Linked DNA regions of Cricetulus griseus. The protein of the gene in region 4 interacts with the protein of the main gene of each other region in a biochemical or structural test. Links are inferred from orthologs where the notes say so. Each region holds a gene or a part of one and is shown on either strand. Other genes may lie near its edges. The genes, in order: Pja1, Mylip, Rnf216, Ube2d2, Ltn1, Rnf167 and Pja2.

What was found.
Region 1: the proteins of Ube2d2 (region 4) and Pja1 form a complex in vitro, tested with the Homo sapiens proteins (3 studies listed by BioGRID). The link is inferred for Cricetulus griseus from reciprocal best matches to the Homo sapiens genes UBE2D2 and PJA1.
Region 2: the proteins of Ube2d2 (region 4) and Mylip form a complex in vitro, tested with the Homo sapiens proteins (2 studies listed by BioGRID). The link is inferred for Cricetulus griseus from reciprocal best matches to the Homo sapiens genes UBE2D2 and MYLIP.
Region 3: the proteins of Ube2d2 (region 4) and Rnf216 form a complex in vitro, tested with the Homo sapiens proteins (2 studies listed by BioGRID). The link is inferred for Cricetulus griseus from reciprocal best matches to the Homo sapiens genes UBE2D2 and RNF216.
Region 5: the proteins of Ube2d2 (region 4) and Ltn1 form a complex in vitro, tested with the Homo sapiens proteins (2 studies listed by BioGRID). The link is inferred for Cricetulus griseus from reciprocal best matches to the Homo sapiens genes UBE2D2 and LTN1.
Region 6: the proteins of Ube2d2 (region 4) and Rnf167 form a complex in vitro, tested with the Homo sapiens proteins (4 studies listed by BioGRID). The link is inferred for Cricetulus griseus from reciprocal best matches to the Homo sapiens genes UBE2D2 and RNF167.
Region 7: the proteins of Ube2d2 (region 4) and Pja2 form a complex in vitro, tested with the Homo sapiens proteins (3 studies listed by BioGRID). The link is inferred for Cricetulus griseus from reciprocal best matches to the Homo sapiens genes UBE2D2 and PJA2.

What each region holds. Positions count from the first base shown.
Region 1 is NC_048604.1:70,903,350-70,907,903, reverse strand, and holds the start of Pja1 (E3 ubiquitin-protein ligase Praja-1), read right to left. Parts: upstream 2,995-4,554; 5' UTR 2,897-2,994; intron 958-2,896; 5' UTR 893-957; coding exon 1-892. UniProt on the Homo sapiens protein: Has E2-dependent E3 ubiquitin-protein ligase activity. Ubiquitinates MAGED1 antigen leading to its subsequent degradation by proteasome. May be involved in protein sorting.
Region 2 is NC_048596.1:265,108,488-265,112,945, forward strand, and holds the start of Mylip (E3 ubiquitin-protein ligase MYLIP), read left to right. Parts: upstream 1-1,202; 5' UTR 1,203-1,343; coding exon 1,344-1,430; intron 1,431-1,444; exon of another isoform or gene 1,445-2,196; coding exon of another isoform or gene 2,197-2,229; intron 2,230-2,243; exon of another isoform or gene 2,244-2,426; intron 2,427-2,532; coding exon 2,533-2,723; intron 2,724-2,746; exon of another isoform or gene 2,747-4,458. UniProt on the Homo sapiens protein: E3 ubiquitin-protein ligase that mediates ubiquitination and subsequent proteasomal degradation of myosin regulatory light chain (MRLC), LDLR, VLDLR and LRP8. Activity depends on E2 enzymes of the UBE2D family.
Region 3 is NC_048597.1:79,660,710-79,665,324, reverse strand, and holds the start of Rnf216 (E3 ubiquitin-protein ligase RNF216), read left to right. Parts: upstream 1-1,626; 5' UTR 1,627-1,782; intron 1,783-1,823; exon of another isoform or gene 1,824-1,846; intron 1,847-4,615.
Region 4 is NC_048595.1:201,719,432-201,723,460, forward strand, and holds part of Ube2d2 (ubiquitin-conjugating enzyme E2 D2), read right to left. Parts: intron 2,350-4,029; coding exon 2,318-2,349; intron 2,239-2,317; coding exon 2,161-2,238; intron 2,083-2,160; coding exon 1,977-2,082; intron 1-1,976.
Region 5 is NC_048597.1:9,913,203-9,917,231, forward strand, and holds part of Ltn1 (E3 ubiquitin-protein ligase listerin), read left to right. Parts: intron 1-281; coding exon 282-512; intron 513-1,298; coding exon 1,299-1,351; intron 1,352-2,872; coding exon 2,873-3,053; intron 3,054-4,029.
Region 6 is NC_048600.1:84,457,965-84,462,443, forward strand, and holds the start of Rnf167 (E3 ubiquitin-protein ligase RNF167), read left to right. Parts: upstream 1-1,478; 5' UTR 1,479-1,605; intron 1,606-1,742; 5' UTR 1,743-2,146; coding exon 2,147-2,230; intron 2,231-2,313; coding exon 2,314-2,470; intron 2,471-3,238; exon of another isoform or gene 3,239-3,315; coding exon of another isoform or gene 3,316-3,345; intron 3,346-3,427; coding exon 3,428-3,501; coding exon of another isoform or gene 3,502-3,553; intron 3,554-3,652; coding exon 3,653-3,740; intron 3,741-3,900; coding exon 3,901-3,991; intron 3,992-4,156; coding exon 4,157-4,262; intron 4,263-4,398; coding exon 4,399-4,479. Other genes in the region: Slc25a11 (mitochondrial 2-oxoglutarate/malate carrier protein), read right to left, coding at 4-210, 301-453, 1,061-1,155.
Region 7 is NC_048595.1:453,411,078-453,415,251, reverse strand, and holds the end of Pja2 (E3 ubiquitin-protein ligase Praja-2), read left to right. Parts: intron 1-1,265; coding exon 1,266-1,391; 3' UTR 1,392-3,482; downstream 3,483-4,174.

The DNA.
Region 1 (4,554 bases), on a different chromosome or scaffold from region 4:
GGCCCTCTGCATGGGCTTCGCCAGCATCAGCACTGGCAGCATCTCTCCACCTGGGAGTACTCTGTGGTACTACATCATCATCATCATCAGTATCAAAAAATATTTTTGGTTTCATGCAGTTTGGAGTCGCCACATTCCGGACTTTTGGCCTTACCACCGGCTCCTCTGCACTCTTTGGGGAGTTTTCCCCACCACCACCACACATACTCACAGGAGCCCTGCTAGGACGTGCTAATAAATTCTGCCTCTCCCTCTCCAAGCTGTTGTTACCCCTTGCAACTGCCCTGCCTTCAGCAGAGGACATCTGAGAGGCCATACCACTTTGCTTCAAGAACTCAGCTCTGCTAGCAGAGCACCTTGCAGCAGGAGGGGGTTCTACCTTGCCAAGCCCCTCTTTCACATCATGGTTAACACTAGAGAAGCGGGGAGCTCTTGCCCCCTTCTCTGGATCATGCTTAAACTTGCCAGTTTTCCCTCTCACTGGCAGTCTGTCAACAGGCCCAGCCCCCTCCTCCTCACTATCACGTGCCCTCAGAGTGCCAATATGTCCATAAGCCAATCCTCTTCGGCTCCCGGAGGCCCTGTACTCTCTTGGAGGATACCTGGGATAATCCCCATTCTCAACATTCAGGCTGGTTCCAGAGCTCTCTCTGTCATCCCAACGACGTCGTGTGCTGGCAAATGGTGACCGGCTCCTCTTGGTGTGATTGGGGGCTGATCTGTGCATTGGGACTTCGGATGTTGTCCTTCTCTGGCTGGCAATCCTTTCCTGATGGCTTGTGGACCGCCTGAAACTGACATAAGCATGTCTCCTTCCATAACTCCTGACTGCATTGGACCGATACCCTCCTGCTGGTTTGGGCCGAACAGGCTTGCTAGATTCCTGACCCATGGCTGACTCTGAGATTCCACCAGAGCTGGGATGCAGGTGCAAAGGCTCTTGCTCCCAGGTCAGAACTACAGAATAAGGAGATCTAGTTTTCCTTCAGTAGGCAGGTAAGAGAGAGATAGGGGCCCTTTAAAATTAGTTTCACTGTCTTTTAAGGCCTGAGGTAGCATTCCTGTGACTGGTGTAGACCTGAAACACATTTTTAGTGTTTGCAAAATGATTACAGGACTGAGTTCACAAGAAAGGTGGGGAATAAGACAGAATGTGTGTGTGAAAGAGTATGTGTGTGTGTGAAAATGTGTGTGTGTGAGAGAGAGGGAGAGAGTATGTGTGTATGTGTGTGTGAGAGAGCATGTGTGTGGGGGGGCGGTGATTGAATGCTTAGAATGTAGATGTGCTGTGGAAATATGGGAAGAGTAAAGCCCGCTGTGAGCTTGGATTTTTTGGGGGGAAAGGGGAGATGTAGTTTTCTGAGAACTGCAGATATTGAGAAGAAATACAATTTAGAACAGAACTGAAAATATAGTTCACTGTGTATGCGTGCACAAGTGCAGTGTCTGTCAGGAGAGAGACAGGTGGATAAGGGGCCAGCAATCCTGCAATGCAGGGATTTCTGTAGGGGGTGGGAATGACAAGAATGGGTGGGGCAGTTTTAGAGGGGAAGGCTGTGAGTATGAGAGAAGAGAAGAGGCAGTGCTCCTGTTAAGTGTGGCAGCTGGAACTATAGAGGGAAGCCTGCATTCCACAGGCAAGGAAGTGAAAGGGTATTGGTAGCAATGAGGAAAGTGTATAAAAGTCAATATGGGAGGCAACAAGGGGCAGAAAAAAAGCACAGAGGATGTATGTGGCGGATGGAATACAGAGGCCAGCAACTAAAGAATGCTAGAATATGTTAGTATGGCAAACAGGAAAGGGGGTACTGTCCCCAGAGGATTTGTGTGTGAAGGTGAAGTATGGAACAGAGGAGAAAAGAACATTTGAGAAGAGTGTGTGAGCCAGCTTCCTATGTGTACATGTATGTAAGGAAAGCAACAGAAGGATGAAGATGTCTTTAGATGTGTGTGTATAGCAGACATGAACAGGGAGGCCATTTTTCAGAGAGGGGGAGGGGGAGGGGAAGGAGAGAGAGAGAGGGACAGGGAGGGAGGGGGGATGAGAGAGAGAGAGGGTGAGGGAGAAGGGGGTAGGGGAGGGTGGGGGGAGGGAGGGAGGGAGAATACACTCTCAAACACGGGTCAGAGGAGAAGGACAGGGAAGATTCTAGAGATAGGAGGTAGGTGAGGGGAGAGGAAGGAACTAGAGGGTGTGAGAGAGGGTGTGTGTGCTTGCCTGTTTGCACATGCGCAGAGGAGCTCTCGGAAACCTTGAGGATGCAGGGACAGGGACCAGACTGCAAAGGAGGTTTGTGTGTGCCTGTGCGTGTGCCCGTGTACGCGCACGCGCGTGCGTGCGACACAGAGGAGGGGGTGCAATGTCATAATAAGAGACAGGAATACGTCCTTAGCTCAAAGGGCAAACCCAAATCAATGTGGCAGGCCAAAAGAAAGAAAAAGGTTTCGTGTAGGAATCCTGATTTTCCCTCAGAATACTGTTTATCTTTTAGTAATTATTTTATTGAGCACATATTTTGTAGCTAAAAATCTTAGCCCTGTGCCATTATACATAACAGCAGCGAAATGGGTGAAGAAAGGCTATAGAGTGCTCTCAAAGACGCCAAGAGCATTGCAAGGAGAGACAGGTAGGAGTGGCAGAGGGCCGCGACCACCAGACCTCTCTCCGACAGCCATGAAGGCCATTCGGGCTAGGGCCATAAGGCTAGGCAGGAGCTGGGCAGCAAGGGATGCGGTCCCCAATGAGGCCACAGGCCTCGGCATGTGGTCAAGTCCCCTCTGCCCCACCCCGCTCCCAAGATAAACCCGCAAAGGGGTCATTGGAATTCTGCCCATGCCCATCCGGCAAGGCTCGCCCACCTGTCCGGGCTACTACAGCAGGCTGCCTTGCACTCACCTTCCCGGCCAGTCGCGTGCTCAGAGCTGCAGAGCCGATGGACCTTCGGTCGCCACCACCACCACCGCTGCTGCTCCGGGTCTCGGCTCCTCCCCCGCTAAAGAGCACTAGGGCAGGCGGGGACTGCGGCGGCGGAAGTGGCCGTGACGTCAGCGCGAGTCCGCCCCCTTGATGTGGCGGGGGCGGGCTACTGCCCTCTGCAAATCCGGGTGGGCTCGAAAGCGTTATTTCGTTTGAAACGCTCAGCTTTTTCAGGGACACACACACAAACACAAAGGCAGCAAGAACTGTAACAGTTCTAACAAATGTTAAACGTTTGTCACCTTCCTTCAGTTGCTTTCTTTAATAAACTGAAATCTGAACATTCTGATTAATTCTAACATTATAGTTAATTATATTACTATATCACATCCTATGTTACATGCTATGGTTTTTCTGTGGATATTAAAATCTATAGCGGTATTTAGAGTTGCAGTAGAAACATCAATTTTTTTAAGCCTGGTGTCTGAGGCAAACCGAAGATGTTTGCAGTGAAATATAGTACTGTCGTCACAAAACCAGGCTTGTCTATCCATTACATTACATGCAACACAGGTTCACATTTTGTGAATTGCAACACATTTTAAAATGTCAGAGATGGGCTGGGCGATGGTGGCGCACACCTTTAATCCTGGCACTTGGGAGGCAGAGGCAGGTGGATCTCTGTGTTTTGGAGACCAGCCTGGTCTACAAGAGCTAGTTCCAGGACAGCCTCCAAAGCCACACAGAAACCCTGATTCGACAAACCAAAACCAACCAAACAAACAAACAAATGGCCGAGTGTGGTGGCCCATGTCTTTAAACCCAGCACACAGAAGCAGGCAGACCTCTGAGTTTGAAGACAACCTGGTCTACAAAGCCAGTTCCAGGGCAGCCAGGACTACACAGAGAAACCCAGTCTCTGAAAAATAAACAAAACAAAGTAAGTCACAGATAAACCCTTCCTGAACTCTTTGAATTACATGGATAGATACTCAGATCAATGTAGAGTTCTTGAGTTCACAGTAGTAGCAAAGATTTGCTCTCAGGAGAAATACAACGTGTAGTAGAACAAAACAAAAACCCTTCAAGGGTGACAATACAAACAGTATGGGTATTTCCTATTAAAAGAATACTGTGTGACCCTGAGGGGGCAAAATCCAAAAAAGGGCAAAAAAAAAAAAAAACAACCCAACAAACAAACAAAAAACGAGAGGGTGAGCAAGAACAAAGTGTGTAGAAAGAGAAAACAACACTTAACAGTGTGTAGTATGGACTATTAACTACATAAAATCAAATTCACTCTACATGGTAGCTCATGCTTTTGACCCCATCCCTCCAGAGGCAAGAGGATTTATGTTTTTTTTCCAGGACAGTCTGGTCTATATAGAGACTTCCAGGACAGCCAGGGTCTCAAAACAAAACAAAAATTGGAGCATTTCTTTTTTCCTTCCTTTTTTTGGGGGGTGGAGTGGAATGTGCATAGGGATTGTTATAGTCATTGTCAGACAAGGTCTCATTATGTATGTAGCTCAGGTTTACCTTGAACTTTCTAGGTTATCAAGCTTGCACCATTAAAAGTAGCGATGCTAATATACAAATAAAGAATTCAAAGTAAAAAGCGTCTAAGAGAACACAAT
Region 2 (4,458 bases), on a different chromosome or scaffold from region 4:
ACTCTGAGAATACCAAGCTTCAGAGAAATGAAGTTTTCCAAAGACCCAAGGCTGAAACCCACATCTCCTGGCTTATCTTATAAATCAGTAGTTCTTAATGCTGTGACTCTTTATGTTCCTCATGTTGTGGTGACCCCCCAACCATAAGTTGCTACTTCAGAACTGTAATTTTTCGACAGTTATGAATCATAATGTAAATATCTGTGTTTTTTGATGGTCTTAGGTAACCCCTGTGAAAGAAAGGGTCATTAGACCCCCCTCTCCCAAACTGGTTGCGACCCACAAGTTGAGAACCACTGTTACAAACCAAAGAGGCAGGCAAAGTAATTGTATAGGCTAAGAGAAACAGGCAATGAAGTCATGGCCTTTAACCATTAATCTCTTCTACTGAGACTAAACTCCACCCCCACCCCTGCTGGGTCCTGAGAGGAGCCCTTTACCTCTAACATGGAGTAACTTCGGGCTCTCCCAGGGAAAGTATCAGGTGATAGTGAGTGACTTGATCCTAGATAGAATGGGTAACGCAATGGAGGCCCCAGCACTCCGCTAGGTGTTTCGGTTTAGCAGAACCCTTGCATTCAAAACTCTTGGCACGCGTTTATGTAAGAATGGTGCTTTTAAGATCAAGCTACCCAGCTTGTTATTGGTCAATTGCAAAAACTTTCCTGCTCAAATTGTGCGTTTTTGCCACCCTCAGTGGCAAATCCCGGCCGAAAAGTCTTAACTTCAGGCTCCGGCTTGCCCGCTTCCCTCTGGGCTCTCACAAACCACCTGGTTGTTGGAGTGGGAGTCGTGAGAACAGTGGCATCGCGGGAGCGTTTGATCACGGTCCTCTTTCTTGAGCAGGGACAGAAAGGCGTCCCTTGGAGCGGCAGGCGACAGCGGGCTGGGAGGAGCGTCGCCCAGCGGCAGAGGCTGTGACGGTACAGGCGTGGGGGTGGGGGCTCCCACCTCCCGCAGCTCTACAGGCGGTGCCGGGAGGCGGGGCTCCAGTCTGCCGGAGCTCCGTATTGGCCGGCGGGGCTGGGGAGGAGGGGCAACTACGCCGTGATTGGCGGAGGCCGGCGCCGGAGGGGGCGGGGCCGCTATAAAAGACGCGTGCCTGTCTCGGAGCAAGCAGTCGGGCTGTCCGAGCGGCGCGGCCGTGGAGCACTCTGGAGTGGGAGACCGCGGGGGGTGGCGGGGACGCGAGAGGAGGCTGCGTGGGGTGCGTGGGGTGCAGGGCAGACGGCCGCACCGCTTCACCTTCCTCGCGGAGCCCGGAGGCGACTTAGAGCTACTGCAGTGAGGCGACAGCCGCGGCGCACACCCGAGAAGAAGCGGCGGTGGCGGCGGCCCCAGCCATGCTGTGCTATGTGACGAGGCCGGACGCAGTGCTGATGGAGGTGGAGGTGGAGGCAAAAGCCAACGGCGAGGACTGTCTCAACCAGGTGAGGGGGACGATCGGAAAGGGGATCCCCACTTGTCCCCGGGAAGCCTGGGGCCTCGGGGATGGTCCTCCGGAGCCGGGCGACGTTGCAGCAGCGGCCCGTGGAGCGCGCCCCGGACGCCAGGCTCCAGCCTCCTCCCCGCGGGCGGCGGGGGTGGGGGGCATAGAGGACGCGTCCGGTGGGGGGGGATCCCGGGCCTGGAAACCCGGACACTGCCAGGAGCTGCAACCCTGTCCCTTACCTCGGCACTTTTCTCTAAATAAGGTGACCAGGCACACCTGCCGCAGGTGTGTGCGTGATGCCGCCCGTGGGGTCCTCGCAAAGCCCGGCAGCGCCACCCGCGTCCCGGGATGAGGTGGCTGCAGACAGTCACGGGCCCCGGGGTTCCCTAGCTAATCAGGTGGGCCCATGTCTCTAGCTGCTTCTCCGAAAGAGAGTTCACCTGACACTCCGGGCTTGCTGGGGATCCAGAGTATCCTTGGTAATTTGCGGGGAACGGTTCTGGCAGTCTCCTGCTTGTGGTCTTTACACGTGTGTTTTCTTTAGAGTGACTAAGGCTCTGAACAGTATTTGCATGGTGGATATGGCAGGCACATTTGATCCCCCTGAAACACTGTGCCTTCGGGACCTGTAGACCTGAGCTGATTGGAAAGCCACTTGTGAAGCTTAGCTGACACTTGTGGCATGCTTCCTCAACGTGTTTGTGTTTTTGGAATCCAGATGGTTAGAACTGCCCAGATAATAAGCTGCCAGATCAGCTGTGCAGATGGTGCTGGTGGAAGGAATTCCAGCGATTGGAGTAAGAAATAAAATACCCTTGGGTTCTTCCTTCTCAGCCTTTTGTGAAGTCTGTTTTAGGGGACTCCTTACCCTGTGCAATTGGCCATACCCTAGAAATATTCAAGCAAGGCCGAGGCTCCTTTGGAGCGCTGTGTTTTGGCATCGCTGGTACCTTAAAACGTTGTTTTTCCATTCTACCACTGGAATGTTAACACGGTAGGACTGGAATTATAACAAGGTCAAAGTAGGTGACTGCCCTTCACGCAGATGGAGCCCTTATGTGTGCATTGCCTATATCTTCTGCCTTTGGTTTTGTTTTTAGGTGTGTAGGCGATTGGGGATCATAGAAGTTGATTATTTTGGGCTGCAGTTCACCGGCAGCAAAGGTGAAAGCTTATGGCTGAATTTGAGAAACCGGATCTCCCAGCAGATGGACGGGCTGGCACCTTACCGGCTCAAACTGAGAGTCAAGTTCTTTGTGGAGCCCCATCTCATCTTACAGGAGCAGACAAGGTAAAGTGAGGCGGAAATAAACCAGTGTCAAGTACACCTCTGATTCCACCTAGGAGGGGCTTCCAGAGATGTTCCCGGGCTAATTTGACTTCCTGAAGAGGAAGTTCAGGAAATACTTAAATTTGCCGTTGAAAGCACAGTTGGCCTGGGTGGGTTTTCCAACTCTTGTTTTGGTTATACACGCCTCTATATTATTAATGGGAGAGCAGAGTTGACTTCTTACAAACAAAAAGAAAACCCCCAACACTGACTTCCTGACAGCTATGTCTAATGCCCGCTAGTAACCCCGCCTCAGCAGTGTTACTACAGGTCATTGTCGACGGTTCTAACTGAAAGCAGGAAACAGTTCCTCTTGGGTTACTTAAACTTGGTCAGTCTTCAGCCTAGTGTCAGATTACAGTGTGTAGCTGAGTGCTCTGTCTGGCCTCCTGCAGATTTTAAAACTTTTTTAAGTTTCATGAAAACTTAATAAAAGAACTCTTTGAAGGCCACTGTAACTGAACTCCAGCCTACAGCTATATTAAACATGATTGTTGGGCATTAGATTTTTTTTCCCTCCTTGTTAAAATAAGTTCCACCAGCCATGGTAGAAACTGAAGTGTGTGGTCTCCTTCTTTAAACGACCAAACAACAACAACAAAATGTGTTTCCCTCACAACTGGCTGTTATCCTTTTCTCAAAGATGATCTAAAATAGAAAAGTGATGTTTAATATTTGTTATTGAAATGCAAGAGACTTACAGTGGCATACTGAAAAAGGGAAATGATTGCTTTTAAAACCACAGCAAGCTGTGGGTCCCAGCACTGATGTTTCCCATCCTCCTGTGGCTTGGAAAAGCGCCATGCATGTGAAAAATGCGATCTTGTAGATTTCAACTCATAATCGGGGAACAGGATCCTCGGAGAGGTTTCAGCATACTGTGTTTTGTTTATTTGCCAGACAAACGGTGGAAACGTTTTAAAATACCACTCGTTTGGATTTGAAATATCCCCTTTGTCTTGCTGTGGAACTTTAAAAGTGGGGGGAGATCTTGTTTATGAAGGAAACTGGCATAAGGAATTTTTAGTGTTTCTGAAAATACCTTACGAATATTCATGCAATAGCATGCTTATAGATGCTGAGCTGTCTCTGTTAGTCACAAGAGGCTCTATCTTTCTTTAAACTTTTACTCTGTATGTGTGTATGCACTGTGTACGTGTACATGCCTGTGCTTGCACACACATCTGTATTCCTGTGGAGGTGACAGAACAACTTTAAGGAGTTGGTTCCCTCCTCCCACTATGTGGGTCCCAGAGATTGCACTCTGGCTGTCAGGCTGGGAGCAAACATTTTACCCTCTGAGCCATCTCACTAGCCCCATCTCTTCTTCTCTCCCTCCCTCTCTCTTCCCTCCCTCTATCCCTTTCTTTTTTTGGCAAACAGTTGTATTGTGATGCTGCTGCTGAGATTTCAGGGCTTCCAAGTGCAACCCAATTCTAGTGATACAAACTTATTTTTGAAATCAGCCAAAACTTGGGAAAGAAAAATACTTCATTTAAGTCATGGAAGGGTATTTGCATAATATGTTTGAGCTGAGAATGTGTCCTTGCTTTATGATGGACTATGAGATAGTCTCTACTACACTCTCCTGTAATTGGGTCAGTACCTATTATCAAATCTACTTGATTCATGTAAGAAAGAAACATTTATGAAGGAATACTTGAATCAAATTGCCTACTGTTTTTTTTGTTGTTGT
Region 3 (4,615 bases), on a different chromosome or scaffold from region 4:
TGCATTGAAACTTACTCCTTGGTTCTGTATGTTATTGATATTAGGAAATGGAGCTTTTTTTGAGGTTAGGTGAGGTCATGAGGGTGGGGCTCTCACAGTGACATTAGTAGCTTTATAAACAGGAAGAGACACCAAAGCTAGCAAACTTACTGTTTTTGACAATGTAATGCCTTTTACTATTTTATGGTTCAGTAAGGAGTTTCCTGATCCACAGTATCTTCTGGTCTTTGAACTTTCTAGCAAGATCATAAGTTGAAGGTCAGGCTAAGCTATGTTGTGAGTTCAAGGCCAGCCTAAATAACCTAGCAAACTCTTATCTCAAAATTTAAATAAAGTAATAAAGGGGGGGACTGGATTGACAGTTTGCCTAGCAAGTGTGAGACTGGGGGTCAATTTCAGCAACACACACACACACACACACACTCAGGAATGCATGCATGCACGCATATACTTTTGTCTAATAAAACCTAAAACAGAACTGGTGAGATGGCTCAAAGGTTAAGAGTGCTAACAGCTCTATAAGAGGACCGGAGTTCCATTTTTAACATGCATAATTCATGACTCAGAACTAGCTCTAGGGAATCTGATGGCCTCTTCTAGACTCTGAAGTTATCTGCCCTTGTACCACACACACACACACACACACACACACACACACACACAATTTAAAAACAAATTAAAACAAAACACGGTGACTTAAGTTTGTGTGTGCCACCACCCCCCCACACCGGAGACAGAGTTTCTCTGTGTAGCTTTGCAGCCTGTCCTCGAACTCATTCTGTAGACCAGGCTGGCCTAGAATTTACGGAGAGCCTCCTGTCTCTGTTTCCCGAGGGCTGGGATTAAAGGCTTGCACTACCACTGCCCAACGGAAAAAATTAACATCTTTCACTTTCTTTGAAACATTTTATGTGTATAGGTGTTTTGCTTGCATGTTTATCTGTGCACCACTTGCATGCTTAGTGCCCACAAAGGCCGGAAAGAGGTCGTCGGATCTTCTGGAACTGAAGTTACAGACCATTGTGAGCTGTAAGGTGGGAGCTAGGAATTAAATCTGGGTCAATGCTCTTAACCCCTAAGCCAGATCTCCAGCCTTTATTTGAATAGAATTTAAGAATACCTTATTCTGGCTTGTCGGCGGTGGAGCATGCCTTTAATTTCGCACGGAGGGGGCGGGGGGGGGGGAGGCAGGCGGATCTCAGTGACTTTGAGGTCAACCTGGTCTATAAAGTAAGTTCCAGGACAGCTAGGACTGTTAGACAGAGAAACAGGGAAACCCTGTCTTAGGAAACAAAAACAAACAAACAAACAAAACAACTTTATTCTTTACCAAATACCCTTGGGGGAGAGTTGAGTCATTTGACCTGTCTCACTTGGTACACAGAAACATCTCATAAGAGGGCAAATAAGTGGTTAATCTGTTGATTCCATGGTCAGCGGCCCACCGCAGCTTTAAGATGAGACAAAGACCCTAGGGTTCAGCTGTTCTTTTGTCCTCCAGTCGCAAGGGGGAGTCAAGGCTCTGAAGCTGTGGAGCCCAGATGGAGGCCCGCTAGGCAGCCATCTCTACAGTCTCGCTCTCCAAGCCCCTCCTCTCCGGCCCTCCGGGTGCCTCTATGGTTCTTCCTGTCATTAGTCGGGAGGGGGCGCTGCGCGCAGGCGCGAGGTGGACGCCGTGGCGAGGCCGGAAGGAACCCAGTAGCGGCCTCGGCGGCGGTAGCGGCGGCGGCGGCTGCGGCGCCTGCGGCTGAGGCGACGAAGCTTTTCAGGCGGCTGTTTCAGGTGACTTGAGACTCAACTCCGAGCGCCGAGTGGCGCTCGCGGAGCTGGGCTAGTTGCGTGGCGAGTACGTGACGGACGCGCGCGTGGGCTTCTCGGGCCTCGGGTCGAGTTGAGGAGAGTGGCCTCCCGCCAGGGCGCCTCTGGGGTGGGGGCGGGGGCTGAGGGGCGCGTTCGCGCGTCCCGGGGGTCCGGGGGGCCGCAGGGGTGTCGGGAGGGGAGCGGCGGAGACGACCGCTGGCCGGCCGGCTCTCCTCCCGCCACTTAGGAAGTTTCTCCGGCCGGCCTGCGGCGCGGGGGGCGACGAGCCGCTCGCTGAGAGACTGTGCGCTGGCGGCTCTCGCTTCGGTGGCGGCGCTCCCTACCGCGGCCTGGAGAAGCGGAAGAGGCGGCGGACTGTTGACTTTGAACTCCAGCCCGGGCTAGTTTGGGCCCCCTCGGGTCCGAGTTGACGCTGTCATTCCAGCCGGCGCTCCGCGGAGCAAGGGGACACACAGCTTTTGCAGTCGGAGCCCTGGTGCTCCCGTGGCGCGTGGCACGCTGGGTGAGCGGCGAGACCCACGCTCGAGTGAACGAGGCGGCCCCCTTGTTGCTCATCCGTGATCCCAGGCTCCCCGTCCGTCTAAACGGGTGCAGGGACCTGGGACCCTCTCCTCCATTGTGTTTAGTGTCTTGGTAGCCGTTACCCTTTTGGAGTTTGGTGTCTTTGTTTTTTTTTTTTTTTTTTTTTTTTTTTTTTCTTTTTAAGAGTCACTGCATAGCCGAGGCTAACCTGGAACCTGAGAAGTGGATGAGGTTGTCCCCTGGAACTCAGGAATTCACAGATCTCTGCCTTGGGAGTAATGGGATTAAAGGTGTAGGCCAACTAGTCCTGTTTTAATGTTTTGTTTGTTTTTTAGATAGGGTCTGGCCTCGAATTTAGATATCAGCTTGTCATTGAGTTTGAGTGCCACACATACCCCTTTTTGGGTTTTTTGTTTGTTCTGGTTGATTGGTTTGGGTTTGACTAATGATTTTTTTTGGCGGGGGGGGGGGCTTGCTTACAGAGCAGGGGTGAAGGATTAGGGTAAAGTTTCACCCCCATCATGGATGGGGGGATTCACCCCCATCAGTGACTTTATGCATCTGCTTGGTATTTTAACGTATGCAGAGGAGCTTGTGCCCGCCCTTGCTGGGTGGAAGGGAGGCACAGTATGTTGTTTGTTTTGAGACAGGCTTTCTCTGTGTAGCCCTGGCTGCCCTGGAAGTCATTTTGTAGACCAGACTGGCTTCAAGCTCACAGCGATCTGCCTGCCTCTGTCTTCCAAGTGTTGGAATTAAATGCATGCCCCACCATGCCCTGTAAGAACAGTATTTTTATGTCCTCATCTCAGTTTAGTTTATCCAAATTAAGAAATAACCAAGCTTTGTGTTCTGTTTGTGTCCAAATGAACTTCATGAAATGGCTGTGGATCTTGAACCTGGATTTTGGGTCTTGAACCTGTTGCATTAGGGACTTGTCTAAGAAGGACAAGAGCAGCTATTAAAAAGATCTTGAGAAATCTAATAAAATTGTAGCTTCTGGAGATCCAAAGTTTATGAAACCTGGTGAGAATGGCTTTGTTGTTGTTGTTATTTTTGCTTTTTTTTTTTTTTTTTTTTTTTTGAGACAGGGTTTCTTTGTATAACAGCCCTGGCTTCCCTAGAACTCATTCTGTAGGCCAGGTTGGCTTTGAACTCACAGAGATCCACCTGCCTCTGCCTTCAAAGTGCTATGATTAAAGGGGTATGCCAACACCACCAGGTGGGTGTTTACTAACAGTGAAGTACTGTTTCCTATGTTTACTGTATTCTAGGCTTTGCCATATTCTAGATCCCTCTTTGTCATCCTTCATCTATATAAAACTTTTGGGCGGGGAGGGGGTGGACAGAAAGTTTCTCTGTAGTCCTGACTGTCCTGGAACTCACTGTATAGATTTGCCTGCCTCTGCCTCCCAAGAGCTGGGATTAAAGGCATGTGCTACCACATGAGTTTTTTGAGTTTTTTTGAGACAGGATTTCTCTGTGTAGCTATAGCTGTCCTGGGACTCACTCTGAGGACCAGACTGGCCTTGAACTCACAAAGATCCACCTGCCTCTGCCTCCTGAGTACTGGGATTAAAGAGATGTGCTACCACCACCCGGCAAAAGCTTTTATTTAGTTTGTATATGGACACTTAAGTATGCTTAATGGTCAGAGGACTTTTGGAAATCAGTTCTTTTCCACCACATGAGTTCCCAGGTTTTGAACTCAGGCTGTCAGGTTTAGCAGCAAGTACCCTTAACCTATTGTGCTAACTCACCAGCCTTATCTTTCCAAACTTGATGCTAAGTACTACATAAAACCCTAAGCACCAGGCATTGGTGTCGATTGCCATTAATCCCAGCACTCGGGAGGCAGAGGCAGACAGATCTCTGAGTTCGAGGCCAGCCTGGTCTACAGATGGAGTTCCAGGACCGCCTCCAAAACAATACAGAGAAACCCTGTCTCAAACAAACAAACAAAAATCCCTAAGCGTTTTTCATATCACTCTTCTTAGTCCTGTCAGTGAGGTAGATTCTCCGGTGTGTGTGTGTGTGTGTGTGTGTGTGTGTGTGTGTAGGGAGGTGCTGAAAAATAACAAATGGAATAAGGTTCAAAGCTGAGTCTGGAACTCATTTGTTTGCACAGTTCTTGCCTCTAACTATCCTACTCTACCTTGTTAATGCTATCCTGTGGCGATATATTATTTATGATTTATTAAAACTTGCCTGAGGATTCAGAAAGCACCATCAGCTACAAGCCATAAAAGCGGTTTTTTGAGACAGGGTTTCTCTG
Region 4 (4,029 bases):
AAACATCAGAGGCTAGGCAGCATTCAGGAGGCAGGGACAGGTGAAGAGACTGATCTCTGAATTCAGGGTTGTCCAAGGCTGTATAGTAAGACCCTGTTTCCAAGGGAAAGACAAACACTACTCATCCCCCAACACACAAAAACCCAATCTAAGACATGAACCTATGTTAAGACTAGAAGTGAGAATGCAGGTTAGTTTAATGGTGGAGAGCTTGCATAATATACATGAGGTTCTGTTCTGAGTTCAGTTTTTAGCAGAACAAAAGCAGATCTTCTAAATCCTAGATTGAGAACACTTGGCAGTGCCAGTGAATTTCAATTTTTAGAAGCTCAAGTTCAGAGAATATCAGCTGTCAAATTTCCAACAACAGACAAAATTAGTTGTCTGACATCACTCCATTACAAGGAAACTTCAAGGACAGTCCAGGATATAGAAGATTGTCTCAAAAATGGAATAAATTCTAACCAGGTACCAGCTCACACTTGTAGTCCCAGCACTATAGAAACCAAAGCAGGCACATTGCCACAAGCGGAGACCAAGACAGAGTAAAACCGGTCTTAAAATAGTAACAGAAAGGCTGGACCTTGGTGGTGCACCCCTTTAGTCCCAGCACTCGTTAGGCAGAGGCAGGTAAATCTTTGTGAGTTCAAGGCCAGCCCACTCTACAGATGGAGTTCCAGGACAGGCTCCAAAGCAATACAGGGAAACCCTGTCTTGAAAAACCAAAAAAACAAAACAAAAAAACCAAACAAACAAACAAACAAAACAAAAAAAAAACAAAAACAAAAACAAAAAACCCAACAAAAATAATCAAACAGGGCACCAGTGAAATGGTTCATCATGTAAACCACTTGCTGAATAGCCAGCCAAGCCGAGTTTGATTCCTGGAATCCAAAGGTGGAAAGAGATAAATAACTATATGAGTTGTCCTGATTTTCATGCAGTGCTGTTGCACTCTCCCTACCCAACATACACAGACAATAATAAATAAATAAATGAAGCCAATAATCACATCATCTTCTCACTGGTAGCTTGTTTGTTTACACTTTTAAGGCAGGACTTCACTCTATCAAGCTAGCCTCAAGTTTGCTATGCAAAGAATAATCAGCTTGAACTACTACTGATCATTCTGCTTCCACTTCCCAAGCATTAGGATTACAGTGTATACACCACTATAACAGTGTATACACCACTATAACAGTGTATACACCACTATAACAGTGTATACACCACTATAACAGGAGTCTACCTATTCTTGAGTATCACAATCAACAACCTGGCATCATACCAAGGATTATCTATTCTTGAATGTTAAAACTCTTTCATTGTATTGGAGACATGGCTCAGTGGCTAAGACCACTGACTGTTTTCCCAAGGGACCCAGTTTAATTCCCAGCACCCACATGGCAACTAACAACTGTAACTCCAAAATCTGACAGCCTCACACACTTACATGCAGATAAATAAAAATTATTTAAAAAAACAAACGAGTTATTAAAAAAAGAAAAAGATGTATGCAGTTAAGACCACTGGCTGTGGGGGCTGGAAAGGTGGCTCAGTGGTTAACAGCACTGACTGCTTTTTCAGAGGACCTGGGTTCAATTCCTAGCACCATATGGCAGCTCACAACTGTCTGTAATTTCAGTTCAAAGGGACCTGACCCCCACGGCAAAGCACCAATGCATATAAAATAAAAAATTAATAAATTAAAAAAAAAAAAAAGACCACTGACTGCTCAGAGGACCCAGGTTCAATTCCCAGTACCCACATAGTGGCTCACAACTGTCTGTTAACTCCAGTAACAGGTGATCCAACACCCTATTCTGTCACCTGGGGGAACCAGGCACATGGTGCAAATTCATTTAAGGCAAAACACTCACACATAAAACAATTTGAAAAACAGATAATCTCAAAAAAGATAAACCAACAAACAATAAAATCAGTTATTTCACCTTGATATCAAACAACTCCATTACCTTTTGAAATAGTTAGTGCTGGAGACCACTGTGACCGTAGAATATCAAGACAAATGCTGCCATTACTGTTAATATTTGGATGATAAATTCTTGTTGTAAATGCAACCTGAAGAAAAAGAAATCTCTAATTGATTTACTAATATCATACAGAGCATATTAAAAGCAATGATCGTATTCCAATTACCTTAGGTGGTTTGAAGGGGTAATCTGTTGGGAAATGAATTGTCAAGAAAAACACTCCACCCTGATAGGGGCTGTCATTCTGTTGATGATAAGAAAGTGAGATTTAAAATGAATAAATCACATAAAGTAACCATTAAGGAATTAAAGTGAGTACTTACTGGCCCCATTATTGTAGCCTGCCAATGAAACACTGAAAAAAGAACAAGAAAAAGAAAATCATGTTAATGATATTCATATCACACCTATACTGTAGAAACCGATCATTCCCTGCCTAATCAAAGTTCATTTATGCCAGGTGGTAGTGGCCCACACCTTTAATCCCGGCACCAGGAGGCAGAGGCAGATGATCTCTGAATTCTAGGCCAGCCTGGTCTACACAGGGAGATCTAGGACAGTCAGGGACTTATTTCAAAAGGTAATGGAGTAGCTGTTTGATAAAGGTGAAATAACTGATTTTATTGTTTGTTGGTTTATCTTTTAAGATTATATGTTTTTCTAATTATTTATTTATTTGTTTATTTATTTATTGGGTTTTTCAAGACAAGGTTTCTCTGTGGCTTTGGAGGCTGTCCTAGAACTAGCTCTTGTAGACCAGGCTGGTCTCAAACTCAGAGTTCCTCCTACCTCTGCCTCCCAAGTCTTGAGTGCTGGGATTAAAAAAATGTGCCACCACATCCTGCTTCAATTTATTTTATGTGTGAGCATTTTGCCTTAATGTTACACAGAGAAATCCAGTCTCAAAAAACCAAAAACCAAACAAAAACAGTAAAATGAAACACCAAAGTTCACTTATACACAGTAAACAGTATGATACAACTTTTTTTTTTTTTTTCCTGAGACAGGGTTTCTCTGTGTAACAGCTTTGGATGTCCTGGAACTCACTCTATAAATTAGGCTGGCCTCAAACTCACAGATATCTGTCTGCCTCTGCCTCTTCAGTGCTGAAATTAAAGGTATGCACCACCATCCCCTGGCAATAATGACTATTTTCTATGGCCAGGATGAAGACTCTAAACCAACTGTGATTCCAAACCACCTAAAAGGCCAGGTGTTGCTGGTGCACGCCTTGCCTTTAATCCCATCCCTCGGGTGGCAGAGGCAGGCGATCTCTGTGAGTTTGAGACTAGCCTGGACTCCAGAGGGAGTGCCAGGATAGGCTCCAAAGCTACACAGAGAAACCCTGTCTCGAAAAACAAACAAACAACACACACACACAAAACCAAACCACCAAAAAACTGAATGAATGAACGAGGGAGGGAGGGAAGGGAGGGAAGGAAGAGAGGGAGGGAAGTCTTTAATCCCAGCACTCCAGAGGCAGAGAGGCAGGCAGATCTGACTTTGATGCCAACCTTAGATCCACAACAGCCAGGGCTGTTATAGAGAAAGCCTGTCTCCAAAAACCAAACACACCAAAAAAAAAACAGACAGTCAACTTAAAAATAGGTGAAAAGAGGCTGGAGAGATGGCTCAGAGGTTAAGAGCACGGGTTGCTTTTCCAGAGGTTCTGAGTTCAATTCCCAGCAACCACATGGTGGCTCACAACCACCTATAATGAAATCAGGTGCCCTCTTCTGGCCTGCATTGCAGGCATACATGCAAAAAGAACACTATACATAAAAAAAAAAAAAAAAAAAAAAAAAAAAAAAAAAAAAGGCAGAGAGGCTAGAGAGATGGCTCAGTGGTTAATCGTGCAAACAACTCTTGTAGACCAGAGTTCAGCTCCTAGCACCTGAATCAAGTGGCTCATAACAACCTGTAACTCCAGCTCCAGAGGATCTGATGCCATCTTCTGGTCTCTGAACATTTACACTATTTACACTCCTGTGCACATACCCACCTATCTCACACACAGCACCACGATGAACAAAGT
Region 5 (4,029 bases), on a different chromosome or scaffold from region 4:
AAGGGGGAGAAAGGAAAAATTATTTCATATGATTGTCAGTAAAGAAACCCTAAATCCCTAGTCTTTTGAAGCAAAGTTTTTCTTTTTGCTTCTTTGCTTTTTTGTAATTGAATCCTGAGCATTGTTATCGTAAAACACACCCTCCACACTGAGTTATTTCCTAGCCTCTCAAAAGTTAATATTAGTTTAATATTTGCATAAATGAATTCCTACTGTTTGTCATTGTAGAATATTTACAAATGTTAGTATTTGTTTTTAAACCACATTTCTATTTCCAATAGGATCATGATCGCCGGGTTCGAGAGGCTACACAGCAAGCTTTTGAAAAACTTATCCTTAAAGTAAAGAAGCACTTGGCTCCATATTTAAAAAGTGTAATGGGATATTGGCTAATGGCTCAGTGTGATACATACCCACCAGCTGCAACTGCAGCAAAAGATGCATTTGAAGCCGCTTTCCCTCCGAGCAAGCAACCTGAAGCCATAGTGTTTTGTAAGGAAGAAATTACAAGTGTGAGTTTTTGGAATCATTCTGTACCCGTGTTTCTCAAGTGTCTGAAGGCTCTCAGGCATACAGTGGTAGCTCTTTTTGCTAGAAACAAATTATGTCTCTCTTGTCATACACAATCAACATAAAAGGTTTCTGTGACCTCAGAAGGTATGGAGGGACCAGCACGATGGCTCAGTGGGTAAAAGTGTTCCTTACAACCCTCATAAAGGTAGAAAGAGCTGACTGCGCAGCTGTCCCCTGACCTGCACGTGTGACTGCATGTTCTCTGTGGGCCAGTGATGGGGAAGGAAAGCAGATCCTAATCTCTCTCGGCTTTACTAGGTGACGATCCCACCTATGGTCCTGTAGTAGTGGAATAACGAGTAACAAATGACCACGAGTGTTTAGTGGGAACTTCTCTACGGGAATTGGAGCTGTCTTTACCACAGTAGCAGCCAGTGTAGGGAGAGATAGGAAGAGAAAAATGGGTGAGGTTCAAACCTCTTAATTTTGCTGTCTGATTTGGTTAGTCGGTGGTTTGAGGGCATGGGAATTTTTATTTATTTAATTATTTATTTTTATTTTTTTGAGACAGGGTTTCTCTCTGTAACCCTGGCAGTCCTAGAACTCACTCTGTAGACCAGGCTGCCCTTGATCTCAGATCTGCCTGCCTGTGCTTCCCAATTGCTGGGTTCGCGCCACCACTGCCCGGCAGGTATGGGGAGTTTTTAAAAAGTAGATTTTCCCTATATCTGATCATCATTGACAGTTCCATAAGATCTCAAGGTTTTGATGGTTTTCTCCTTCAGGTACTACAGGATCACCTTCTGAAAGAAACTCCTGATACCCTCAGTGACCCTCAGTAAGTTACGTTGTTTCTAAGTAACACAGGAGGCATTTACTTTGTTGGTGTCATGTGTAATTTCAGTTTGATGTGTTCTAAGAAGGAATTGCAAATGCAGGTGAAATTACTTCAAAGAATGCTACATGGTGCCTGCTCTGTGCTTTTACTTGCTGGCTGTTACATTTGAATTTTTGGAGCTATATATGTAGTTCTATTAGAAAGAATTTTACATTTTTTTCTCACATTTACCTTTTGGCAGTCATAGCAGGAACTGTTTTAAGGTTTGGCATACTTGAAGTTATTAAGTAGTTCTGTTAGAGAAGTAGTAAAATGTTTTATTTACCTGCATGTTGTGTTTTTTTTTGAGACAGGCTTTGGAGCCTGTCCTGGTACTAGCTTGTATAGACCAGGGTGCTCTCTAACTCACAGAGACCCTCCTAACTCTGCCTCCCCAGTGCTGGGATTAAAAGCATGAGCCACCACCACGCAGCATACATGTTGTATTGTGATTAAGCTTTCAAGATTGCATCAGGTAGTCAGGTGCCTCACCGCCCTTGGTAGAATTGCCCAGCACCTGCTGCTGAGCGAGCATTGTGCTTGTGTTCCCTTCCTGCATGTGTGGGAGTGAAGCATTTGCTTTCACTTGTATTAACTGCAAGATGTGTGACTAAAAGTCTACCTGTCTTGCAGTCAATCCTAAAAGCTGGAATTCAAGCCCTAGGATCTGCATGGTGGAAGGAGAGAAACTATTCCCCAGTTTGTCCTGACTGTTGTTGTTTGTTGTTTTTACTCTTGGGAAGCCTGCCACCCAGCTCCCAAATAAATCACACATGGAGGCTTACTCTTAATTATAAATGCCCAGACTTGTCTTGACTTATTTCTAACCAGCTTATCTGAACTTAAATTAGCCCCATCTACCTTTTTGCCTCTGGGCCTTTTCCTTCTCTTACATCTATATATCATATTTTACTTTCACTCTTAATCTGTGGCTGGCTGTATGGCTAGCCCCTAGTATCCTCCTCTCCTTTTCTTGCTCCTTCTCCTTTTCTTTTCTTTTCTTTTTTTTTAAGATTTTATTTATTTATCATGTATACAACATTCTGCTTCCATGTATATCTGCACACCAGAAGAGGGCACCAGATCTCATAACAGATGGTTGTGAGCCACCATGTGGTTGCTGGGAATTGAACTCAGGACCTCTGGAAACGCAGCCAGAGCTCTTGACCTCTGAGCCATCTCTCCAGCCCCGCTCCTTCTCCTTTTCTTCCCAGATTTCTCCTTTTTTGTTCTTCTGCTGGCCAGCCCTGCCTGTCCTTTTTCCTGCCTTGCTATTGGACATTCAGCTCTTTATTAGCCTATCAGGTCTAATAGCATAGCTTCACAGTTAAACAAATGCAACACATCTTTGCATCATTAAACAAATGCTCCACAGCATAAACAAATGTAACACGTCTTAAAATATTCTACAGCAGACTTCCATATGTGTATGTGTATAAAAAAATCCAAAAAAAACAAAAGCTATTTATTTTTCAAATGCAGAACTGTTCCAGAGGAGGAGAGAGAGGCTAAATTCCATCGAGTTGTAACGTGCTCCTTATTGGCGCTAAAGAAACTGCTTTGCTTCTTACCTAACAATGAGCTCGATTCTCTGGAAGACAAATTTAAATCACTTTTATCACAGAATAAGTTTTGGAAGTATGGAAAACACAATGTGCCTCAGGTATTGTAATAATTTTTATTTTAAGACTTCTATAACTTCCCCCTAATTCTGCATTTATGCTCATGTTTATTGTTTGTGTTTAAAATTATGCAAGCACATCTTTGTAGTTAATTGGTCATTCAGGACTTAGTTCCTCTTTTACTGCTACTCTGTTTCCACCTTTGTCGTTGGGTTGAAGTGGCTGACTTGCTTTATGGGGTCTGTATTTTCACTGTTCATTCAGGTGGAATTAAAACTAGACCACACCATGGAATTCCTGGCAGTTTAGAATTAGTGCTGTATGCAAGACTTGTTCAGTACACTTCACGCCTTTGGTCACTTTCCCTTTCTCCACCTTCTAATGCTTTTCATGTATGCATTTTGCTTGTGTAGGCCAGTTGCATTATCCATAGTCATTTCTACAGTGTTAGCACAAACACTGAATGAGAGAATACTGGAACATTGTTCCTAGGGGAAATACAAGGTTAGATTCCTGTGAGTTGTTAGTTACAACAGTTTTCTCTTGTCTTTCTTTTTTCTTTTTCTTTTCTTTTCTTTTTCCATTTTCATTTGAGATTGGTTTACCCTGTTGTAGTCTGGCTGTCCTGGAACTTGCTTTGTACACTAGGCTACAGAGATCCTCCTGCCTCCAGGATTAAAGGCTCATGCCATCACTGCCCAGCTCTCAACAGTTTCTTTAATGAGTCAGTATAAAACATTAATTTAGGTGTTTCTGTTGAAAACGATTCATTAACCTTGAACTGATGACCAGGCACTGGAATTCATGCCTGAATTAGGTTTATTTAACAGTCTTTTTTCTGTGTCACACAAGAAGTTTTAATCTGTGTGTGTGTGGTGTGTGTGTGTGTGTGTGTGTGTGTGTGTGTGTGTGTGTGTGTGTGTGTGTGGTGTGTGTGTTGCGTGTGTTGCTGGCTGTGGTGTCTGTTGTCTTGTATATGCGAGTACTTCCCCGTTTAGCTACGAGATCCACACTGCA
Region 6 (4,479 bases), on a different chromosome or scaffold from region 4:
CACCGGCCATCAGCAGTCATCCTGATAAGAGCCACCTCAGCTGGCGTTCCCACAAATGCACCAGTTGCACCTGCAGTCATACCAATCAGGGCTTTCAGCAGAAAGCCAGGGGGTGTACCGTCAGCCCCAGTCAGGCGCTCAAACAACACGGTATAGATGCCAAGACGAGTGGTGGTGTAGGTAGCCTGGCGCAGTAGGCCAGCTGACAGCCTGAGGAACAGAAAGGTCAGCAAAGCCTATCGGGCCAAGGTCTGGACCTGCCAACCCACAACCTCGCTTCCCAACCGGAGGCCCCAGTACCCAGTGTAAATGCCCTTCAGTCCTTCTGCCTTCAGGATGCTGGTGAGGGCATGGAAGCTGGTTTTGTACTCTCGAGTCTTGGCCCCTTCACCACTCAACTGCATCCGGTTCTTCACCAAGTCCAGAGGCTGCACAAAAACTGTAGCACCCATCCTGGAGTAAGGCAGGAAAAGGAGACAGAGCTCAGCTGTTCCTGCTCTATTAGTGTCTACTGCAACCTGGCAGCCAGAAGTTACGAAGGTCAGGGCCTGACATGCAGCTAAGGATTCAGGAGGCTGGTGGGCATGTACATAAGTGTGTGAACGAAGGGGCGATGTGCCAGGCAAAAAAAAAAAAAAAAAGTCCAGTTGTCCAGTAAAGACCATGCAAATCAAAACACTTCAAACAGTTCCTTAGAGCTCAAATAGAATTAGATTACAGGCAGTCTGACTAAGGAGGGGTGGAGAGGACATCCATAACCTACGACTCCAAGCGGTCCTCTAACAACGCCTCTAATAACCTAGACCCACCACACAATCAGGCACGGTGAAGCAATGGTGGTGGAAACACGCGGGGCAATGACTCTTGAATGAAGCCAGCCCTGTAGGGGCCTGCGATGGGTGAATAATCCTGTCAGCCCACCAGGGAGGTCGCAATACTCTGGACATTATGGTGACCCCGCACCCGCTCCATTTACTGCAACATACCCCGAGATGCACTGGGCCCAGTTACTTGCGCCCGTCCCTTCCTCCTTTTTCCCATCCCTGGGGCCTGAGCTTACCCAGCCAGGCCCCCAAACAGGAACTTGACCGACTTAGGGGAGGTACGGGGCTTCCCGTCCATCCGGCCATCCCCGGGACTCGCCGTCGCCGCCATCGCCCCTTGATGGCCCTCGGCTTTGGGTCCCGTGCACGCACAGCCCCGCTCGCGCCCAAGGTGACACCAGCGCGCAACAGGGCGAAGGCGCGCGCGCGCACGCCCCTCCGACAGGCAAGTCTGGCTTGAGCTGGAAACTGGGGGGCGGACGGGGGGGGGGGGAGGACCGCAGGCGCCTAGCGCAAAGGAGGCCGGGAAGGAGGCGGGGCTAGTATGCGTAAGCGAAGGGGCGTGGCTGATCTAGGAAGCCTCTTTGTAGCCCCCGCCCTTCCCGAATTGGAATCGCGGGAAACTAGTGTTTGAAAATCTCGCGAGAACGAGTGAGACAGTCGAGTTAGGGCCGGCATCCTCTCTCTCGCGATAAATTTCAGCTTAGCGATGGGGTGGCGGTGGTGGTGGTAAGCACTCTCGCGATACTTGGAGGTACCGCAGCGAGCAGGAGGCAGAGAGGTTTGTAAACAGGGCAGCACCAAGATTTCGGGCGCTGAGGGGAAAAGAAAATTAGGTCGTCTCCTGGGCATCGGAGCTCCCTCCATCTGCGCAGGAACTCTCTCCGTGTCTAACATTTCTTTCAACCGGCCTTTTAGGACCGGAAGTCCTCCGTCCTGAGCGTCCAATACTGGAAGCGGCCTTTCTTTACCGGAAACCCTTTTCCAGGGGATCGGAAGACGGCCTACCTGGCCGGAAGTCCCACCTCTTTGAGATTTCCCCCACCCTTCCTGAAGTTTTTCTGTTACCTGTTTTTTGCCTTCGTTTCTATTCTCCGTTTTATTTCTGTAGTAGAGAAAGATACATTGTCTCCCTCCCAGCTCCACTAAGCTGGTTTCATACCGCACTTCCCGAGTCGGAGTTTTGCCCCGACGCCCCCATGTAGCTGAGAAAGTAGGACCTGGGGGTGGTTGGACCCCTGGGATCCTTAAGGAGGCAGAGAGGTCGCAGAACTCGGCTCCTATCAGGACGCGACCTCCTCAGCCTTACCCCTCCCGCTGCCATGCACCCTGCAGCCTTCCCGCTTCCTGTTGTTGTGGCTACTGTGCTGTGGGGAGCATCCCCTATCCGAGGCCTTATTCGAGCGGTGAGTCTAAGGGGCGGATGGGGCGGAGGGTGCCGAGAAGGGTTTCCAGGCCGAAGAGAAAAACGGACTAATTTTGTCTGCAGACCTCGGAGCACAATGCCAGCATGGACTTTGCAGACCTCCCAGCTCTATTTGGGGCTGCCCTGAGCGAGGAGGGACTCCAGGTGATGCTCTCCCCGTTTCCTTATAGTCTCTATCCTGGGCAGGGGTTGAGTAGCCGTGCTCTGGATCCAACTGGAGGTAGGAAGTAGTCGAGTTAGCAGCGGGATGCGTTGGGCTGTGGATAGAACTCAGTGATAGGGTGCTTTCCTAACACGAGTGAGACTGAATCACCAATACCAGCTCCCCGCCCAAAACCTAAGTATATGACCGTGTCCAATGTAGAGTTCAGAATCTAGAGGCAGAAGGCAGTGTCCGAGAACTCCCAAGTTTAAGAGGGACATTGGAGAGTGAATTAAGATAGGAAGCAGGTGCTTATCAGTAATGTCTCCAGAGCTGTTTACTGTTTGTATGAATGGCTGTGGATGGTATTTTGTTGACCCTTAGTAAAATGGGTAATGGAAATTAACTTAGAACTACTGTGTTAACTGGTAAGTTGAGTTAAGCATGTCTGTAATAGTTTATTACAAAGTTCTTGCCACATAGGAAGAACTCAGTTGGACCACGGATAGCAATAGTTGTTTCTAAAGTGAGGGTTATTGAAAGTGCTGTATGTACACAAAAAGACGAATCTGAAAAAAACTTGGTGAAAATGACATGGATGAGTAGCAAGCTGAATTATCAGGAAACTGGAAAAACAGAACTAAACTAAGAATTTGAGAAGTCGAGAGAGCCTCTGGTAAAGAGGTGATATGTTCTGTAATTGCATCTTCGGGAAGCCAAGAGATTAGATTCTGCTTTGTTTGGTTTTATAGATAGGTTTCTCTGTGTAACCCTGGCTGTCCTGAACTGTGTATACCAGGCTGTCCTCCAACTCAAAACACCTGCCTGCCTAACTCTACTTTCCAGGTGCTGGAATTAAATGCATGTATCACCATGCCGGCCTGAGATGTAGATTCTGATTCAGGTGGGATGCTTAGACCTCAATGAGGGTAGAGCTACAGAATACAGATGGTGTATGTATCACTATATTCGATAGGCCCTGTGGGAGGCAGAATGTAAAGATGGAAAATCCAACTGTTTGCTTTTATTCCTCAGGGGTTCCTTGTGGAGGCCCATCCAGAAAATGCCTGCAGTCCCATTGCCCCACCACCCTCAGCTCCGGTCAATGGGTCAGTCTTTATTGCACTGCTTCGAAGATTCGACTGCAACTTTGACCTCAAGGTTGCTAAATGTGGAATGGGAGCTGGTAAACATGGTAAATGACACTGGAAGCAAAGAAAGGCAAAGTTTATGACTGTTGTCCGTGCTTTGTCTTCTTAGGTCTTAAATGCTCAAAAAGCTGGGTATGGTGCAGCTGTGGTTCACAATGTGCATTCCAATGAGCTTCTGAACATGGTGTGGAATAGTGGTGAGTAAGGCTGGGGAAACTGCACCGATGGACTTTCAGTAGGAGGACTAAAGGATCAAAAGAGGCCTTTGGGTTCTTTGGGTGGGATGGGCAAAGTGTCAGATGCCAGTTCCAGGGAACTGAGTGGAAGGCTAAATCCCCACTATCCTGCTCCCTACAGAGGAAATCCAACAGCAGATCTGGATCCCATCTGTATTTATTGGAGAGAGAAGTGCAGAGTACCTACGAGCCCTTTTTGTCTATGAGAAGGGGTAGGACATAATGCTTTCTTCTTCCTCTTCTCCCACTCTTCCCCAAGCCTCACTACCCTACCCACTCACACTCAGGCTCTTCCTTTCTCTTCACCAACGCCTTGTCCCAATCCAGTTACCTGGTTTTGCCTGGTTCCTGGCTTGAGACTTGTCTTTCTTTCTTAGGGCCCGGGTGCTTCTGGTTCCAGACAATAGTTTCCCCTTGGGCTATTATCTCATTCCTTTCACTGGCATAGTAGGACTGCTGGTTTTGGCCATGGGAGCTGTACTGGTAAGTAGCAGTGGGAAGAAATTACAAGGCCAGACTGTGTCTGGAGAGGGTTAGTGAGGTGGTTATTGGATTTTCCAGTGTTTTCTTTTCTTTTTCTTTTTCAACTTAAGCCTGGTCCACTCTCCCTTACTCCTAGGTAGTTCGTTGTATCCAGCACCGCAAACGGCTCCAGCGGAACCGACTTACCAAAGAACAACTGAAACAGATTCCTACCCAT
Region 7 (4,174 bases), about 250 Mb from region 4:
GTACATCGTCAGTGTGCTTGGCTTTGCTGTAGCACAGGATAACAACCTAATTTTTGTCCTCTGAGGAAAGAAATTAGTATAAAGCCTCCCCTGGGAAAAAGGTTCCCAAAATGAAATTCTTTGTCACCTTCAACAGCATGGTAGCTTCGCTGCCCTTCCTTCTATCAGAGAGATGCATTTGGGAAAGGCCAGACTTGCAAGGACATGATGTGTCTTCTGTGAGGTGACAGGTCTCTGGGCTTCCATTGGTTTTAAAGCTGTTCTCTTCCCATCTTCTGTCCCAGGTCTGTGGTTAGTTTGTGTTGTTACTTAGAAGGCACATAATTGTCTCTTTTTAGAAAGGGGTTACCTGGCTAATAAAGTAAGGTCTGAAGTCAGTCTGGTTGATCACATCTGTCTACAATAAAGTGAGGCTTTCATGTATGTATATAACAAGGATGGGCCTGATGGGGCTGTAATTTTCTGAGCCAAAATTGTGTGGGGTCTCTTGTATGTGCCTAATAGATAAATTATTGGGTTCAGGTCATTAATAAGCTTACCTGACTGATTTCCATGAGACAATGTACTGATTCGTTGCTCAGCTTTGACCACAGCATCCATGCCAAGCATGGAAGCTGTAAATAAAAATTCATTGAGTAAAAGGTGAGTTGAATCCAAGGTACAAACATGATCATAACGTGCTGTTTTATATAAAAGAAATTTGAGCTGGGTGGTGGTGGTGCACAACTTTAATCCCAGCATTCAAGGGGATGGAAGTGTGGCAGAGGCGGTGGATCTCTTGAGTTTGACCAGCCTGGTCTACAGAGCAAGTTCCAGGACAGCCAGGGCTACACAGAGAAAAAAGACAGAAAGAAAAGAAATTTGGCATTGAAATTTTTGAGATGGCATTAAATAAAAGGCATTAAAATTCTGTCTTATGCCGTGTGGGTGTGAAGTGTATTTTTTGTTTTTAATACTTGATTTGGGAGCTGGAGCAGTTAAAAGTGCATGTGCACTTAGAGGAGCCGAGTTTGGTTCACACCCGTGTCAGGTGATCACAATTGCTGGAGCCCTGCTCTGGAGGAGTCTGGCACTGCCTCGTGGCTCCACAGGCACCTGCTCCTACGTGCATAGACACACACACACACAGAATGTAAGGCAACAAATGTGTTTTTAAAGGGCACTTGATTTGTTTGCAGCTAATGATGCTATGATTTTCTATGACGATAATGCTGGTCTATTGTTGTGTTGTGTGTTAACTGGTCTGTCTGTCTGTTTCCCTGCAGTCGGGGACCTGCCCTGTGTGCCGCCGTCATTTCCCACCTGCAGTCATTGAAGCATCTGCAGCTGCTTCCTCTGACCCTGACCCTGATGCCCCGCCTGCAAATGACAATACTGCAGAAGCCCCATAAGAGAAACATGGAAATGACACCTGAAGTCTATCACAGTAAATCTGCAAATTTCCTCTAAATCTGATGTGCAAATAATTATATATAAATATATTTAAAATGCTATATATAGTATATGCCATAGTTTAGAAAGAGAATATTAACCTTTCTAAACTGAATTTAGGTTTGCAGAGCATACTAAATATTTGCAAGCTGAATGCTGAAGCAGTGCATCCATTTCCTTTAGTTGGCTACATCTTAGACGTAACCCCGCTGAGACGTTAGGTAACGCAATATTCAGTGAACACTGGATGCCTTTAAAGAAAGGCTAGCAAAGCATGTGAATGGTCTGGTGTGCTCAGTGCTCGGCACAGTTACATGTGTTTGGCTTACGAAACACTGTCTAAGCCCTTATCAGTCTGCTTCTACTTGTTAAATACTTGAAGGTCCGGAACACTCTTGACATCCTCGTTTAAGAAGCTGGCTCTAGTTACTTTAAGGTCGTTTGGTTTCAGAAATAGTTTAGAAGGTCTGAGGACTTGCACATGGCCATGTTTGTAACTGTGTCACCCCAAATAAAAATTGCACAGCTTTTAGGTGATCACATGAGCAGGCAAGTCTCTACAGATGAGAGTGTAATAGGTGGCTTACAGATGTCAACACCAGAGAGGAGTGGCTGAGACGGCACAACACGGGAGCACACAGCGAGTGCACATCTGCCTGTCCATTCTGATACAGCTGCAGGAATACCTACAGAGCTTCTGAAATGCACAGCTTCATTTCAGTTGTGTAATATCTGAGTAGTCATTCTTTCTTCTTTCTCCATTCTTAAAAATAAGTGAATTTTCACTGTTGGCACATTTGAGGCTTCACTATAAGGAATATAACACTTGCATTCTGATTTTTGCATATATTGTAAATGTGGCTGGTATAACAGCAAAATACTGTGTATCCTTTTATGGGTAAAACAAGTGAACATTGCATGCAAGTAATGTGGTGAATTTGTAATTTAGGGGTTCTGGGGCTTCTGTGACTTTGGATGCTTACATTCAGGCCTTAATGTTGCGCTAGCTAGCATGCTTCCTTCTGATGTATATAGTCAGCATTGTACAAACTAATCTTTGCTTGTTTTCTACTCTGTGGTCTTTCCATACCATATTTCATGGATGATGAGTCAGTGTCAAGAAGTCACACGAGATTCACATTAGTCCTCATGTGTACACTGTGGAGGTTTGTGGGTTGTGTGGTTTGTTTGTGTGTTTTCTTTTATGTACTGTTGATTAGTTGTGGCACTTACTGATTAAACTTACATTGCTGCAGATTGCTTTGTAACAAGCCACATGTTATGTTTAGTCAGTAGTAAGGGACCTTGATTTTTATTCTCCTAGATAGCAGCTGTCCCAAAGAAAATATTTCTTCTTTGCCTATTAAGATTTAGCTATTATCTGCCAGTTGTTAAGAGGTTTGGTTCCAAACTCAAGCAGAGAGTTGAACGTAAGATAGCTGTTGTCCTTTTTGCTTTCCATCTGTTACCGTCCTTCATTGTTGGCTCCCAGCTACGTATACACACAGCTGCTGTGAAGAAGAAAGCTGAATAAGACTTGCTTTAAATTTTTTAAAAAGAAAAATGAAGTTCTAGAACTTTGATGGTAACAAGCCAGTATAATCTGAGGCTGACAAGTTCAGACCCCAATATATTATTTCATCTTTTTGCAAAGTTAAGAGTATATGAAGGTAAATTAGAAATAGTAAAAATATTGATAAAATGTCATTTATCTTATTTCTCTATTTTTTGTTGTGACTTGGCCTAATAATTTTAATTTTTTGAACATTTTATTTCTTGTAATACGAATGCTGATATTTAAAGTTAGACTCATGTGGATTTCTTTTGTTTCTTAGTTGTTTATCTCTAAGCTAACTAACTTCTAAGATTATTTGTGATATGGATTTATATATAAGCTGTTAAATATATATGAGCTGTTAAAATGGAATGCAAGGTTTCAAAAGCCCAGGTCTAACTGTAATGATTGGTTTATTGTTATACAATCCCAGCCCGCCATTTTCCGTGTAAATCATAAACAATAAACAGGATATACTCGGTGGTCATTTCTAATATTTAATTGTGTAATCCTATCACTTCTGTAGCATAATCCTTAAAGGATTTAGAGTCAATAACAAAGAACCCAACTTAAAAAGAACACTAGACAGAGCAGACAGGGACTGTGTAGAGAGGAGCTGGTGGGCTTGTGGTGTTCCAGAGGCTCTGAAGGAGGGGCTGCTGCCCTTTTCTGCCTGATACCCTCAGCAATCCCAGGCTTCTGCAGAGCCCACTTCTGACATCCTCAGCAATCCCAGGCTTCTGCAGAGCCCACTTCTGGCCTGACGGAGACTGTGGAGCCTTTGAGTTCTTGGTGCTTCACTCTAGTGGCTGTCTCCAGACCCAGTGCAGGACTGACTGTTGTCAAGTATGCCCACTGAGGATGACCTCGTGGCTCACAGACGGCTCAGGGATTGTTTTTGAGTCAGTTGGGTAGTGAATAATGTCCACATTATTAATTAACAAAAACAAATTTTGTACAGAAGTGTTAGAATTCCATTTCCTAATACGCATGTTAGAAAAATACAGTTGAGTTAAGAATAGCAATGCTGTGCATATGCCCCTGCGTAGTACCGAAGAACTTCTCAAATGGCATCCTTTGGTCCAGCGGTTGCTGGTGCAGCCTTTTGTACCCTGCGAAGGCAGGGTTTCTCTCCAAAAACAGCATCATTCAGATCTCTGTAGAGCATACAGCTCTTACCTCTTCCTA